Struthio camelus: one gene and its partner. The protein of the gene in region 2 binds, or shares a complex with, the protein of the main gene of each other region. Links are inferred from orthologs where the notes say so. Each region holds a gene or a part of one and is shown on either strand. Other genes may lie near its edges.

Evidence for each region.
Region 1: MED4 (region 2) and MED19 share a complex: the UniProt entries of both Homo sapiens proteins name them as parts of the mediator complex. The link is inferred for Struthio camelus from reciprocal best matches to the Homo sapiens genes MED4 and MED19.

What each region holds. Positions count from the first base shown.
Region 1 is NC_090946.1:7,468,712-7,476,479, forward strand, and holds MED19 (mediator of RNA polymerase II transcription subunit 19), read left to right. Parts: upstream 1-4,668; 5' UTR 4,669-4,687; coding exon 4,688-4,886; intron 4,887-5,227; coding exon 5,228-5,484; intron 5,485-5,593; coding exon 5,594-5,690; intron 5,691-5,778; coding exon 5,779-5,873; intron 5,874-6,100; coding exon 6,101-6,169; 3' UTR 6,170-7,186; downstream 7,187-7,768. Other genes in the region: TMX2 (thioredoxin-related transmembrane protein 2), read right to left, coding at 2,126-2,272, 2,466-2,595, 2,721-2,786, 2,866-2,972, 3,070-3,146, 3,411-3,524, 3,702-3,762, 4,161-4,499. UniProt on the Homo sapiens protein: Component of the Mediator complex, a coactivator involved in the regulated transcription of nearly all RNA polymerase II-dependent genes.
Region 2 is NC_090942.1:192,114,052-192,122,098, forward strand, and holds the start of MED4 (mediator of RNA polymerase II transcription subunit 4), read right to left. Parts: upstream 3,098-8,047; 5' UTR 2,964-3,097; coding exon 2,869-2,963; intron 929-2,868; coding exon 862-928; intron 518-861; coding exon 347-517; intron 1-346. UniProt on the Homo sapiens protein: Component of the Mediator complex, a coactivator involved in the regulated transcription of nearly all RNA polymerase II-dependent genes.

The DNA.
Region 1 (7,768 bases), on a different chromosome or scaffold from region 2:
AGCCCCCATCCAGCACACCCCCCGCACCCAGCATCCCCCCTCCCCTCGCCCAGCAGCCCCCATCCAGCACACCCCCCTCACCCAGCAGCCCCCATCCAGCACACCCCCTCCACCCAGCAGCCCCCCTCCCCTCGCCCAGCAGCCCCCATCCAGCACACCCCCCCCACCCAGCAGCCCCCCTCCCCTCGCCCAGCAGCCCCCATCCAGCACACCCCCCTCGCCCAGCAGCCCCCATCCAGCACACCCCCTCCACCCAGCAGCCCCCCTCCCCTCGCCCAGCAGCCCCCATCCAGCACACCCCCCCCACCCAGCAGCCCCCCTCCCCTCGCCCAGCAGCCCCCATCCAGCACACCCCCCTCGCCCAGCAGCCCCCATCCAGCACACCCCCCTCGCCCAGCAGCCCCCCCACCCAGCAGCCCCCCTCCCCTCACCCAGCAGCCCCCATCCAGCACACCCCCTCCACCCAGCAGCCCCCCTCCCCTCGCCCAGCAGCCCCTATCCAGCACACCCCCCTCACCCAGCAGCCCCCATCCAGCACACCCCCTCCACCCAGCAGCCCCCCTCCCCTCGCCCAGCAGCCCCCATCCAGCACACCCCCCTCGCCCAGCAGCCCCCATCCAGCACACCCCCTCCACCCAGCAGCCCCCCTCCCCTCGCCCAGCAGCCCCCATCCAGCACACCCCCTCCACCCAGCAGCCCCCATCCAGCACACCCCCCTCACCCAGCAGCCCCCATCCAGCACACCCCCCCCACCCAGCAGCCCCCCTCCCCTCGCGCAGCAGCCCCCATCCAGCACACCCCCCTCGCCCAGCAGCCCCCATCCAGCACACCCCCCTCGCCCAGCAGCCCCCCCACCCAGCAGCCCCCCTCCCCTCGCCCAGCAGCCCCCATCCAGCACACCCCCCCCACCCAGCAGCCCCCCTCCCCTCGCGCAGCAGCCCCCATCCAGCACACCCCCCTCGCGCAGCAGCCCCCATCCAGCCCCCCTCCCCTCGCCCAGCAGCCCCCATCCAGCAGCCCCCCTCCCCTCGCCCCGCACCCCCCCCCCGCCCAGCAGCCCCGGCGGCCTGGGCGCAGCGCTCACCAGTGCTCGATGACCACGCGGGGGCCGCTCCCCCCGGGGCCGCCCCGGACCCGCTTCTGCGGCGCATCCGCTTCCTCCTCTGCCCGGACCTCGGTCGCCTCCGGGGCGCCGCGCTTCTTGCGCCGGGGAGCCATGCTGGGGAGAGCCGGGGCGGGCTGAGCGCCGGGGGGGCCCCGCCGGGCGGATAGCAAGGGAGGAGGAGCCCCGGGAGCGGGCCGCGGCTGGGGGGGGGGGGGGGGGCGAGGTTCCCCCCCACCCGAGGAAGGCCGGGGACCCCCCGGGGGCGGGGAGGGGAGAGCCGCGGAGCCGCCGCTACCTGCCGCGCTGCTCTGCGCCGCGCCGAGCCGGGCCGGGCACGTGGCGGGGCGCGGGGAACCGCTGCGGGCTGAGCCACCGGCACCGCCGCCGGCGGGGGGAACACGGGGCAGAGCGGCGCGGCGCAGCCCGCCGGTGCGAGCGGGCCGCCGCGGCCCCCCCCGCCGCACGGCGGCCGGACACTCCGTCACCGCTCGCCCGCTTCACCGCCCGCGGGCACCCCGGGGCGAGGGGGGGAATTTGGGGGGGGGTTGGAGCAACCCCCCCCCATGGGGCACAGTGGTTCCGCCCGCTCCCCCCGCCCCCTTCCCGCGGTTATGTAGCCAGCGCGGAAGGCGCAGCCAATCACGACGCGGCAGCCGCGGCGTGGCCAAGCCCCTCAGCGCCCACGTGATTTCCCCCCCCCCCCACGCACACCGGGGAGCGGTCCCCTCCCGCCGCCGCCGCCGCCGCCGCCGCCGCCGCCGCCGCCGCCGCGCAGCACAGGGACACGGCGGGGCGCTGCGGGCGTTTATTGACAGCCATGAGGATGAGCGTTCACCGGTGCGGGGCGGCTCTGCCCCGCCGCCTCCCAGCCCCCGCGGGCACGGGGCCGGGGCGCCTCGTACCGGGCCCCACACCCCACTGCACCGGGCGGCCGCGGTGACCCCCTGGGTGGCGCGGGGTGCAGGTCCCTCCTGCAACTTGGGGGGTGAGGGGGGGGGGCAACAGCAGCGTTGTCAGCTTCTACTTGTCCTTCTTGGTCTCCCCGTTGGCCAGGCCGGCGGCCGCCTGCGCCTCGGGCGCCTCCTCGGGCCCCTCATCCCGCGGCTTCGACTGCTTCTTGGCTTTGTGGTAGAGCTCGTTGAGGTTGAACTCCCTGATCACGTTCTCCTGCAGCCCAGATGGGCCGGGTGTCAGCACCCGCCAGCATCTCCCACACCTTCCTCCCCCCCCCCCCCCCCCCACAGCCCCGAGTGCCCTTCCCGCAGTGCTGGGAGCCACCAGCCACCTCCGGGGCCGGGTGCTGAACCGCGTCGTGCCCCAGAGGCTGGAGGACGCCAAGGGCTGGAAGGTCTCCACCCACCTCTGAGAAGGTCCAGGACACGGCTCGACCTTTCTTATCGATCTGTGGGCGACGCATGGTCTCCGTCCCGCCCTGGAAGAGGATGAGGGTGGGCAGCTGCTTGGTGAGGGGCGAGGTGCTGACTTTATACCTGCGGGAGGCGGACGGTGAGCCTGCGGGAGCTGCAGGGGCCCGGGGGCCCCCCAGACGTTCCCCCTTCTGCCCGGATAGGGGCTCTGCTGATGGGGGCCGTCCCCTTCCCCCGTCCCCGCAGACCTGGTGCTGACGTCCGTGTACCGGCCCACATCCACCTTCCCGAAGTGCAGCCCCGAGCAGTTGTACCTGGCGGAGAGACGCAGCTGAGAGCGCCGAGCATGACTGTGTCTCCCCCCCGCCCCAAACCCTGGTGGGCGCCGCTCACTTGAGAGAGAGGTCGGCGAAGATGGGGGCGAAGGACTGGCACTCGCTGGACCAGTTGGCGAAGAACTCGATGATCCAGGTCACCCGCTTGTCTCGTTCCAGCTCCTCCTGCCGCACGGGGTCACGGCTTGGCGGGGCGCGGCGGGGCGCAGCGCCCCCTCCGGCGCCGCCGTGCCCCGGCCCGGCCCGCAGAGGACATACTCACGTCTATGGTCTTGTCGTTGAAATACTTGATGTACTCGGGACCCATGTAGAGGGGCGGCTTGCAGGTCATCAGGAACACTGTAACGACAGCGCCCGTGAACCCGCTGCCTGGACGGGCCTGTTCCCGCAGGGAAGAGGCCCTTACCCTCACCCACACACCCGTTGCCCCCCGCCCCGAAAGCGGCCAAGAGAGCCAGGCTCGGTTCAGGATGAGGTTCCTCTTTCCCCGGACTACCCCTCTGGGCCTGTACGGAGGAGCGCTATGGACACCCTGTGCTCGGGGCAAGCGGAGCCGGGGGGCACCGCTGCGGCCCCTGGTGCCCCCATCCCCGCGGGTCTCACCTATGCACAGCGTGAGGTAGAGCAGGCCCATGCGGATGTCGAGACGGAAGAAGAGGATGGCGTTGGCCACTTTGCTGAACATGAAGATGTTGCCGATGTGCTGCTCCACAGTGACTGGGGGAGAGGGGTGAGAGCCAGGGCCAGATTCCCCCATCCCCTCTCAGCCGCCACTCCCCGAACTCCCCCCCTTCCTCTGGCTCCTACTCCATCCAGCTCTGCAGGGGATGGTCCACAAGCAGGCCCTGCCCCGCAGCCCCCCGCGCCCACCCAACAACGCAGGCCCCGACTCACTGGAGCGGCGGTTCTTCATCATCACGATGGCACTGAGGAACATGAGGATCTCCACCTCCCGCTGGGCACAGGAGAGAGGAGGTGAGCAGGAGGCACCCACCAGACCCTGCGGCCCTACCGCCCGCCCAGAGCCAGGGCGCTCCCAGCCCAGCCTGCCACAGGGACCTGGCGGCTGTGCCCCCCGCCACCGCTGCTCCCCCGTGCCATCCCTCAGCTCCTCTCCCTCCCGAGCACCGAGAGGCGGCCTGCGAGCACAGCCAGGAAAGGGGGCCGCCGTCCCCGAGGCGCTCAGGGAGCCCCCAAGCGGCGGGCCGGGGCTGGCAGAGCACTGCCGGCGGGCGCCAGGCCCGGCCCTCCCTCGGCAGCGCCGGGGAGCCGCGAGGAGAGCGGGCCCGGGGGCAGGAAGGACGTCGGGGACAGGCGGGACACGGGGCTCGGGCGGGCGGCAGCCCGCCTCACCCAGTCAAAGTCGCAGGGGTTGCCGTCCTCCCGCTGCGAGGGCAGGCCGCGGCAGAGCGGCGGCAGCTTGCGGACGAGCAGGAAGGCGGTGGCGAGCAGCGCCGAGAGCGGGTAGTAGGGCCGCGCCAGCCAGCGGCACAGCGCCGGCATCGAGTACAGCAGCGCCAGCAGCGGCGCCACCACCGCCATCTTCCCTCCGCTCGCCGCCGAGCTCTGCCGGCCACCGTACGGCCGGAGCGGGGCTCTTCTTATTGGGCCGGCCTCCTGCTCGTCAGCGGTGGGCGGGGCTCCTCCGCCGCTGGCCAATGGCGCGGCCCCGCTGCCAAGCTCTTCCGACATCCAGCCGCAGAAGGCGGGGAGGCGGCCAATCAGGATACTCGGTCCGCGCCGCACGTAGCAACGGGGGGGAAGGGGCGGGCCGTAGGCAGCGTTCAACCAATCTAAGCCGAGTGCCTGGGGCGCGGCTCTCCCCCCATAGGGTGGGGCGGTGCGGCCAGCCCGCCCCCGGCGCGGGGCACGCTGGGAGCATGGAGAATTTCTCGGCGCTCTTCGGCGGGGCCGAGCCGCCGCCCGCCGCCGCCGCCGCCGCGCTGGGCTTCGGACCGGCCAAGGCGGCGGGGCCCGGGGCCGGGCCGCCCCCCGCCGCCGCCGCGCCGCCGCCCGGCGAGGACGCGGCCCGCAAGGCCGCCGCCGCCGGCCCCTTCTACCTGCTGCGGGAGCTGCCAGGTACGGGGCGGGGCTCGCGGGGCGCTCCGCCAATCAACGCGCGGGAGGCGGGCGCCGCCCGCGATAGGCGGGGCGCTCCGCCAATTGGCCGCGCGGAAGCGGCACCGGGCTTCCGGAGGGGGGTAACGGACAGCGCGGTGGGCCAATAAGGTGCGGGGGGGGGAGAGGGAGAACGAGGCGCAAACTGACAGCCCGGCCGGCTAATGGGATGCAAGAGGAGGGGCGGGGCTGAGCGGCGCACCACCCAATAGGGGAAGGGCGCGGGACTGGGGCCTCGCAGAGGTATCCCATAGTGCTTTGCCCTGGCTCCCGCCAACATGGACGGCGGTGGGGGCGGGCAGGCACCACGGAGCTGACGGGCAGCACCAACCTCATCACGCACTACAACCTGGAGCACGCCTACAACAAGTTCTGCGGCAAGAAGGTGAAGGAGAAACTCAGCAACTTCCTCCCCGACCTGCCGGGCATGATCGACCTGCCCGGCTCCCACGACAACAGCAGCCTGCGCTCCCTCATCGAGAAGCCCCCCATCTGCGGCAGCTCCTTCACCCCCCTCACCGGCACCATGCTCACCGGCTTCCGCCTCCACGCCGGCCCGGTGAGCCCCGGCGCTGCCAGGCCCAGAGGCAGCGCGGAGGGAGGGAGGGAGGGAGGCCTGGCGCGGGCTGACGGGCCCCCTCGCCCTCTCTGTCTCTCTCTCTGGGCAGCTGCCGGAGCAGTGCCGGCTCATGCACATCCAGCCGCCCAAGAAGAAGAACAAGCACAAGCACAAGCAGAGCCGCACCCAGGATCCCGTCCCCCCGGGTAAGGGACGCGCCTGGCTCCCGCAGCACCCCTCACCACGAGAAGCCCGCTGGGCACCCCACTGACCCAGCTCTCTCCCTTCCTTCAGAAACCCCCTCGGACTCTGACCACAAGAAGAAAAAGAAGAAAAAAGAGGAGGATCCTGAGCGGAAGAGGAAGAAGAAGGAAAAGAAGAAAAAGAAGGTAGGTGGGGAGAGCCAGGCTCTCACCCACGGCCCCTGTGGGCCCAGGCCCTCCCCGCGCGCCCCCCCAGGAGCTGCCTGGCCCCGGGAGCTGCCGAGCAGCCCTTCCCCGGGCCGCTGATCAGCAGGAGGTTGGAGGGGGCTGAGTGACGCTGGGAGGGCGCCGGTGGCGGGCGGGCTCCGCTCGGGGCTCACGGGGACGCGTGTGCCTCTGTCCCTCCTTGCCAGAACCGGCACAGCCCGGAGCACCCGGGCGTGGGCAGCTCCCAGGCCAGCAGCAGCAGCAGCCTGCGGTGAGGCGTCCGCTCCGTGGATCTCCCAGCCGACGGGAACGGCCTCAGCTCACCCGAGACGGACTCGTCCCTCCTGCCGGGCTCGGTGGGGGCACTCGGGCTGGCCTGTCCCCCCGGCGGAGAGGACGTCCCCAAAGCACCCACGTGCGCTTCCTGCGGAGGGCAGGAGTCACGGACTCCGCTGGAACCGCTGTGGGGAGTTGCTGCCTGTGGCCTTTTATACCAAAACAACGCGGTGCATCGGGCTCTCTTTTTTTATTCACTTTTTAATTAAAAAGGCTCTGCTCCGAGGAGGGGCTGGTGACTGTGGCTGCTGCCACCGTCGGCCCTTGTGCCAGGGCGCGGAGCGGACACGTGGGGCGTGAGTGAGCGGTGCTGCCTTAGGGAGCAGGCGTGGGGGGGAAACTGAGGCAGAAGGGGGAGGGGGGAGCCCGGGGCAGGATCTGACTGCCGGGAAAGAGGGGTCCTACCTTGGCTGCGGCTGCTCAGCTGAATACAGAACCCCTCCACTCCGCTGAGCGGCGCTTCGCTGAGGACAGCGGCGACCCCGGCGAGGTGCCGAGGCCGGCAGCGAGCCCCAGGGCAGGTGTCGCAGCGCTGGAAGCGCCGGCCAGCTGCGACAGCGGCCGAGGAGCGGCCGTAGGGCGTCCCTTCGGTCCCCGAAGCGGCTCAGGCTCCTGCGCGACTGTGCCCTGGAAGCCGCTTACGTCGGACACCCGAGAAGCCCGACTCGGCCCCTTGACAAAACGCTGACCTGTGGCGGGAGCGGAGTTTGCCCACGGGCGCCCGTCCTCAAATCGGGGTAATCCCTACGGTGAGGGCGGCCCGGCCCGGAGGCACTACACCTTAGCGCTGCTGGGCTTGGGGGCCCCTCGCTGCTCTGCTGCGGCCCAGCTTTCTCTCCCCCTTGCGCGGTGGGAGGGAAAGGTGAGCCGCAGGAGGGGCCCCTCTATCCCTGGATGCTAAACAAAGCACACGCGTGGCTCCTGCGATGGCTCATTAAATCTCCTTTTATTCCTCATTTTAAAATGGCTAATTAAAAAAAAAAAAAAATCCAATGGCTCTGCAGAGGCCACAGGAGACATATTGCCGTAGAGAAAGAGTCGAGTAGTGCCTAAAGTTTCACTGCACCTGCACAAGTTGGGTAGCCCTTTGGGGGGGGGGGGAGGTGATGGGGGAGCGCTGGACTCCTCGGCTGCTTTTTTTTGGCATGGGATGAGAAAAATATTGCTTTACGGGGCTGTGCCCCGCTGGCCTTCCTCTTTCCCCGAACGGAAATTAAAAACAACCGTGTGACAGCGAGGAAAACTCTTAACGGACCTGACAAAACAAGACTAAAAGGAAAAAAAAAAAACCTGGGGAAACATTTAAAAAAAAAAAAAACAGCTAAAACCATGAGCGCGGCCAGGCTGGTGAGCACAAGGGTTTCTGTCCAGGGCCCTGGCCTCTGCGCGAGCCTGGCGCCCCGCGGGCCTGCCCGGCGCGTGAGCTCACCCTTCGCTTGGGAGAGCAGCGCAGTAGGCAGCAGCCTCAGCCCGTCCTCATCCTCCTCCTCCTCCCCAGGTGGGAGAGGAGCTCGAGCACCTGAGGCTTAAAAAGGAAA
Region 2 (8,047 bases):
AAAAAAAACCCAACCTCCAATGAATCATTCATTTGTAAACTTACGCATAAAAATGGCTCTGTGAATAGATCCTTGCATTTAATTGCATTTTGATGGATAAACCATTCAGGGAACATTTTCAAAATATATAAAAGTAAACTAGCTTTGGAAGAAAATTAACATTGTAAAACAAAACTGAATGCCCCGATAACTAAAAAGCGTTTGCCTACTGAAAAGAAAAACTCCGCTAAGCGGTTGTGAAGTTTTAAATATTGAATCTTTTCAAACTAACACAACACTGTTTTCTCCAGAACCACCTTTTTCAGAAGTAGGTGCTTAAAAGCAAGCACAGCACCTTTGAACTTACCAGTATGTGCTCTGCTTCTTTTAGTTGCTTCTGCAGCTGCTGAATATCACTATCCCTCTTTTCTACTACCTTTTCTAAAAGCTGCATTTCATGATGAATTTTCCCCTGATCAACTGCCAGCTTCATTAGCTCTTGAAACTCTCCATCCCTCTGAATCAGCAGCTCCAGGATCTGTCAGACAAGAGTTTCATAGAACTTTTAATTTAGTCAGAGTAACAGCATACCCACAATTATGCAGCAAGGAAGAACAACTGATATCTACATGAGTATTTCTGTTTGCATGCCAAATGAAACAAACTTCTCGCTCTGTTTGCAGAAACAACCTATGAAGCATGCAGTAAAGAAAATAAACAAAAAAGCACCACAAGGACCAGGAATATCATTTTAGTGTGGCCAAAAACTCATCATCATCATTAGTCTAAACATACGCAGGGACAAGAGAGGAAAAAAAAAAGAAAGAAGTAAAGTAGAACATCTGACCACACAAAGAAATACTGTTAAGAAAGTTAGTTTACCTGGCTTTCTTCTCCTGGTTGCGGAAGCTTCTGGTTTCTTGAAATTGCCAGTATTTCAATTAGTTCTCTGAAAAGAAAACTGTGTATTTATACAACTTGCTATGCTATTTTTTCTATGCTATTTACAAATCAGACTAAGTCATCCCAAAATTTTCAGAGTACTGACAGCATTACAAAAGTACTCACATGCTTGAGCATTTTGTAGTTTTGTAGCATAGCTGTGTCAGGGATTTCTCAACTTAGAAAGAAAAAAATGTGCTCAAATCATGAGACTATTCACATAATTATTTTTTCTCCTTTGAGCTCACAAAGCGAGCACAAATGCACATGAGCAAGAAACGTGCCAAACTGAAAGAGACATAAATAGAAGCTGGGAGAAGAAAAAAGACAATGAAATACATTCGTGCTCTAGTTTTATCACCCTTGTTTATTGCAAGAGAACATGAAAGTATAAGTTGTTATCATTATTTTACTTCTCTACTTTTTCTCTGTTTTTACAACAGAGCAAGTTTCACACTTGGGTTTAGAGCAATTAAACCTACGCTTTCAAACATTTAAAGAGTTTGTTGTGAAACTATTATTATTATAAAAACAAGTATTCTCACAATGGTATATCAGCTGTATATCAAATACATACAAAAATATGAATAAACTAATAATATTCTGGGACTAGGTTAGAAGGGCATCTCAACTAAACCTCTTGATTGTGCCTCCATATACCCGTTTACTTTGCCACCATTATGAAAACCTGTCAGTAACCTCTAAAGGGACTTGCTAAACAACAACACCATGATGCAAAAAGGCACTTGGTGTAAATGGGGCAAATATGTTTGGCTTCTAATGACATGGGCTGAAGTTCAGTGCTGTGCATGTATAAGTTTATCTGAAGCAGGCTCCTTTGCTCCTACCACCAAGGCAATATCATGACTGTGAAAGGTCTAATGCCATGGTGCTTCAACACTTTGCTGATTAACAGGAAGATTCACAAAAATATTGCTGAGGGATGCTCTGGATTCATTATGATGGAATCTTAGTCCCCCTAAAAATCAGTAAACATTTAGATAAAGAGCAAAATGTTTTTTCCTAAAACAGCAGATGTTCTCCCCCATTCCAGCAACCCAAAAGTCACAACAAAATCTAAAACTGAAAATAAAACCTAACTAGAAAGAAGAAGAGCAACTGGACAGTATACTGTCCTTGTCCTACCTGGGGTAATCAGAAAGAGCGAACCAGCCACATGAACACTTTAGATTGCTCCCTGTGAAAAAGTTTTCCTAAGCTCCTGCTCTCCTTGCGAGGAAGAAGATAATTAGCAACCAGTTTCACTGCACTGCTAGCTGGGACTCCCACAACATGGTGGACAGCTTGGATGGGGAGCTGCAGTCCAGCCTGAAGAGCGCGGGCTACCTACTTGAGCATTTGCATCACTCCAAGGACACGCTTTACAGCCTGCTTTGACAGAGTTGAACTGGTAATGACCAGAACGGCTTAAGTCGTGCAATACCATCTACAGAGCTCTGACATATGCGCCGTTTTTCAGTGAATAATAAAACGCTTCAAACCTCTTCTGTGAAGGGGGGGTGGGGAGACTGTCTCAACAGGAAACGCAGGTGACAACCAAGAAAGGAAGGCAAGCCGAAGAATAAGGAAGCTGCCCGTTCTGCTCTGAGAACACGGAATACGAGGAAGCGTCTCCGGCGGCGCCCCGGCGGGGCAGGGGCCCTGCAGCAGACGCAGCACGCACCCCGCTGCCCCAGGAGCCGGCCTGGAGGCGGTGCCGGGGCGGCGGCAGCAGGAAAACGCAGGGCCCCGTGCCGCCCCGGCGTTGGGGTCGGGCTGATCTCCCCCCTCCCGGGCCCCCTCAGCCCCCGGCGGCACCCGCCCCGGCTTCGGCTCGCCGGCGCCGTCCGAGGCTCCGCGCCCGTACAGCGCCGAGCACCCTCTGGCCCATCGGCCGCCGCCCGAGCTTGGCGCCGTCTCAGCCGGCGCGCGGCGGGAGCGCGGTACCTGGCCAGGAGCTCGAGATCCTCCAGCGCCGCCAGGAGCCGGTCCCGGGTGCTGCTTCGGTCCCCGCCTCCCCCGGCCGTCGCCGCCGCCATCATGATCCCGGCTGCGGACCCGAGCGAGAACCGGCGGCGGCACCAGGCCCGCGCTAGGCGAGGCGGCAGCGCCCCCCTCAGCGGAGGTGCGAACTGCAGCCGCCCCACCCCCACCGCCTCCCCGGCCAGCGCATGCGCAGTGCGGGGAAGGGTGGGGAGGGCGGTTCCTTCCCCCTCCCCCTCCTCCCCCAAGCGCGGCGGGCGGGGCGGGGCTGAGGGGTGGGTAACGGCTGCCGTGAGGCGAGGCGGGAGGGCGGCGCTGGCGCTGAGGCGGGCGCTGAGGAAGGGCCGGGAGGGGGGAAGGAGTTCAGCGGGGCTGGCTGGGAAGGGCGTGTGGGTGTGAAGGAGAGGTGGTCTCGTCTCCCCCGTCTGCCCCCGAGGCAGTGTTTGTAAACGACCCCCTGCTGGAGCTGGGCCGTTACTCAAGGGTCAGGACTTGTTGTTTTACATGCGTTTCCAGTCCCCGGGTTTTGACCGAAGAGCCTCTCGGTGAGACTCAGATGTACCCTGCAGACGGGGAAAACGAACCCAGAGAGAGGGCTTGCCATTGAACAGCGTCATAACTTTGTTAACTCTATGCTCTCTGACACCCAAAAATCCCTTAGGTGCTTTTTTTAGTTGGAGGCAGGAATCGCGTTTTCCTAATGACTTAAGAAAACTAAGTGATAACGAAAACGTAACAAAACCCTAAGCTTTAAATCGGGCAGAACCCTGAGCTCCTACCTGGGTTTTGTGTCAGGCAAGCAACGAGGCCTCACAATGGCCAACCAGAAGCATGACTTGCATGTGCAGACCTCTAGGTGCAACCTAAAGGTGGCTTTGCATGAATTACAGGGTGCTGCATGCAGCGATCAGCTGGTGGGGCAGTTAACAGATGCAAACCCTGCCCTTGAACCTGCAGACAATCGAGCTATATTTTAAAAATACCATTTATTTTTAAATGTTGCTGTATATGGTCTGATAACTGCAAACCGACCCCTAGCTCTGGGTGGGGTCACAGTGAAGCCAGTGGAATTTCTGAAATTCATGAAACTGGCAGTAATGTGAAGAGATAGAGGCTGAAGCTAAGGTGGAGGGCAAGATCGGAGAGCACAGAGAGAAAGCTAATCAGGGACCGAGGTTTATAATTCTGTGAGCACTTCCACTGAAAAACGTGGAGTCCCCAGACTCCGCCATCTTCTGTTGTCAGCAGGCAGCTGCAAAAACCCCTAGCAAACAGTGATTCTCATCACTCTTGATTAGAGAAAGTAGTAGATAGATGATAACATCTCTGACTGCTCTGGTGTTTACTCTGATTATCTTTTTACCTACTGCAATAAGTTTGTCCCTGAGAAATTTACTTATTAAAAAAAAAAAAGGAAAGGCAAGATGCTCGTTAATCAATGATTCTTTGAATTGTGGTTTAAGAAATCAATTGAACATTACGGGATTTGTAATAAAGTAATGAGATTTGGCAACCCCAAGAAGAAGAAAAGTCTGCCAACAGGAGTTTCTTAAAATTCATTTACAGTATACAACAGCATTCAAAGTTCCAATCTGTAGATAGTTTGGGAACTCTCTTTAAACTATGGAGCAGAGAAAATCTCATCAAATAGTTCTACACTTTTTTGCTTGCCCTTTTTTTTTTTTCAAAAATACAGTATTATTTCCCTGATTTTGTTCAAGAAAAGATGTAATCAGTGAAGCTGTCTGGTTGTGCCTCCAATTCACTGATTTGTTACAATGTCTCCATGGGTGTGTAAACAGAAATAACAACTTTGGAAAATAAAGCAATCCTCTAGAGTTGAAAATAAAACAATCCCTCTGCTGAATTATTTTCTTCCCTCACATTCATTTTTTAACATCTGAATTGGTCAGAAGTATTGGAGTACTTCTAAAATATTTCAGGGCTGTACTACTAGTTTCACTAGTTAAAAATTTATGGCATCAGCGGGATACCCAAACTTAACAGCCCAAAGGGTAAATATCGGTTGTAGGAGGTTGCTGGAGGCTGATCTTTGCCTCCCACTCCTTATGTCCAAGGAGCTGCTCTCTCGTTCCTTTTGACAACAGTGCTTTTCCCACCCAACCATGCCAATACCCCACAATCTTTCAGTGCAGCAGCTGCCCTCTTCTTTCCCCTTCACAAACTGCTGACCTTCATCTATGCAGCATGGACATCTGACTGCTTCTTATAAAGTCTGGAGTCCATCCCCACTCATTCCCCTGGAGATGCAGCAGTGGCTGTGAAGTGCAGGCCCCTTGGCAGAGACTTATTTGTCCAAATTGATGCTCCTACTTCTGTGTAGGAGGATAGGATGAGCCTCAAGGCCTCAGGGAATGCCTGGCTGTGCAGAGACACAGAAAATCCTTCAGACTATGTCGGAGCGGTCGTCTCCTTTAGGACTAAGGGAGAGGCTGGGTCAAATAGGCTTGTGCCCCAAACTTGGCTCATGGGCCCATTGGGGTAAGATTGAGTGGCTGATTTGCTGAATTGACTTTTGAAACACTTACCCGGACAAAGCAACAGAACCTCTGTTTCCTCGGTTCTTCAGTGCTTTTGGTTTTCTTTCCCCTGGGTAAACTTTGTCATAGATGGGTTGGTTTTGAGCCAGATATACGCCTTAAAAGCCTATGCCCTTCCTGAATAACTAAGCATTGTTGCCTAATTTGCTTTTAGTAGTCTGAGAACATTTTAAGTTGTGCAGCCGTGACTATATCTTTCCATTCACAGTGAGATTATGAGACGTTTCAGATTCTCTTTGATTTCAGATTGTCTTTTTAATGGCACATTGATCACAGTATTAAGAATCTGTTAGCACAAGCAAAAATAGCTTGCTTCATCCTGCTCAACTGAGTTTTATCTGTTCTAGAATCAACCTTTCGGTGATGATCTGCTGAGCAAACTGATTTCTACAGCTGCAGATCTATGAAGAGCTGATCTGATCTAAGAGTTCACCAGCTCTGAAAAGCAGATATGTTGCTCACTCCTCATCTCCCAATCGCAGATGGTTGCCCTCCCTTACATCCTTCATCATCATATGCTTCCATGAGCTACTTAATAACAAGACAGAAAAATACCTAATGTTTTTGTTGGGTTCATTTCCTTCTGGGTTAATGAGTGAAATCTGATCGTGGAGGGTCTTAACAGTCAGGAGCAGAGAGGAGAAGAGGAAGAGGGGGTGTTCCCCACATAAGTGTTAGGTCACCTAACCTCAACTTGTGGAACCATACCTTCTGAGTACAGTTTTAGGGTGCACCTAATACAGTATGACTGGAGGCTAATGCTGAAAAGTGCAGTCTTCTCCATCTCTCTTCAGCCATGTATTCTGTCTTCCTCCCTCTTACATGAGATCCTGTACAAGTGAGACTGCGGAATGAAACAGCTGGGCAAACCAGTTCAATGGAAAATGCTTCATATTTTTTGGTGGATTTGTCTTCTGTCAGATGAGCTCATTGGAGCAACTGACTTCAAGGCTAACCATCGCTAGATCACTAGACACAAGGGAATGTGTGGCCAGAGGAAGGAAAGCAGGATGCTACTCTTATTTCTAGTTAAGTGAAATTCAAGCGTAGGATTCATCTGATGCAAAGCCTTTTTTTTTCAGGCTACCATTGGGATTTCCTAATTCCTCATCTTATTACCTTAGCTAATCATGAAGTAGAAGTTTGTCTTAAAACTTAGATGTTGAACCACAGAGAACTTCAGAGCAGATATATGTTTTAATTTCAGTCTGCGTCTTTTCCAGGCCACTGTGCTCTTCATCTAGCTTGTTATTTATATGTTGCAGACACTAACCATCAAGTGTTTAGCTGGTAGATGTTTGGATACCACACCTTAAAATAACAATGGACTATTGAAGATAACTTAAATCCTGAAGGCCCTCAGGTGTCTGACCATGGATAATAAAACACTTCAAACAGTACAAGTAGAAAGGCAGTAGGGTAATCAAGGGAAGCAAGTAGGAAAAACAACAGAAAAAGTACTCCTATCCACTTCCCCTCGATAATGTAAAAATAAAGTCCTTTCTGTCAAATATCAACTGAAATAGAAATCAAACATCTTGAGCGCTGTTTGGAAGGATGCCACCGTTGTACTTTGGCCTGTGGAGAAGAGAATAATCATCCCGTGTTTGTCAAGCTGTCTTTACACCATTAATATTTTTAAATGCCTCTGAAAAATCATCTGTATCTTATTGCTATTTTAAAAGACATCTTTTTTTTTCCATGCTTACATATGTTGGGTAGCACTTTAGACCAGTGAGATGAGAGAAAAAAGAAAAAGGTGGTTTTGCTTAGCCGGTGTAATTCTAAAATAGGTTAAAGATGAGACAAAAATAGATAATACTATGAGCCAAAGCTTATTTTTTGTGGAAGTAGTGTGAAACACTACTGCATATGGTCAAAACCAGAGTTTGATATGCCATTCCAGAGTGTTCCAGCACAAAATTAGCTCCGCTTTGAGCTATATTAAACCTAAGTTACACTGATTTCTGCTGGTATAAATCTAGGCACAGAGCCCTCAAGACAGGAAGTCACCCAGGCAGAAAGCTGCCGCAACTTTCAGTCTGCTGGAGGGCTTGTTGGGACCAGTGCTGCCTCTGGAGTAGGAGGTGTTGAGTGGGAGAGAGAAAGAACCAGAATTGGCCCTGGATGGTGATTAAAAAAAAAAAAAAGTCCTTATGACAAGGGAGAGCTTTTTTTGCCTGGCCACTAGAGATGTTGGCAATTCTGCCAAGAATTCCCAGGAGTAGGGGAAGATATAGGGGCAAACTAAATGTGAGATCTTTTCCCTCGCTAAGCCAAAAGTTAATGCTGACTATTTCATGAAAAAAACCATCCAATTAGGGATAGTGAGACTCCTGGGGTAGGCCCCCAACACATATTAATTTTGAGTCTTCATTAAGTTAAACTTGTCTATTTGGAAAAAATCTTATTTTCCTTGCAGCTTCTGCTATAGCCTGTTTACCAAACACTACTGAGACACCCACACAAGCTTCTATAGAAACCAGGCTGAAATTTAGAGTTGTTTACTTCCCCTCAAAAAAAATCCAAGGGCAGTGATGACAGCAACAGTCCCTGCTCTCCCACATGCTGAATTCCAACTA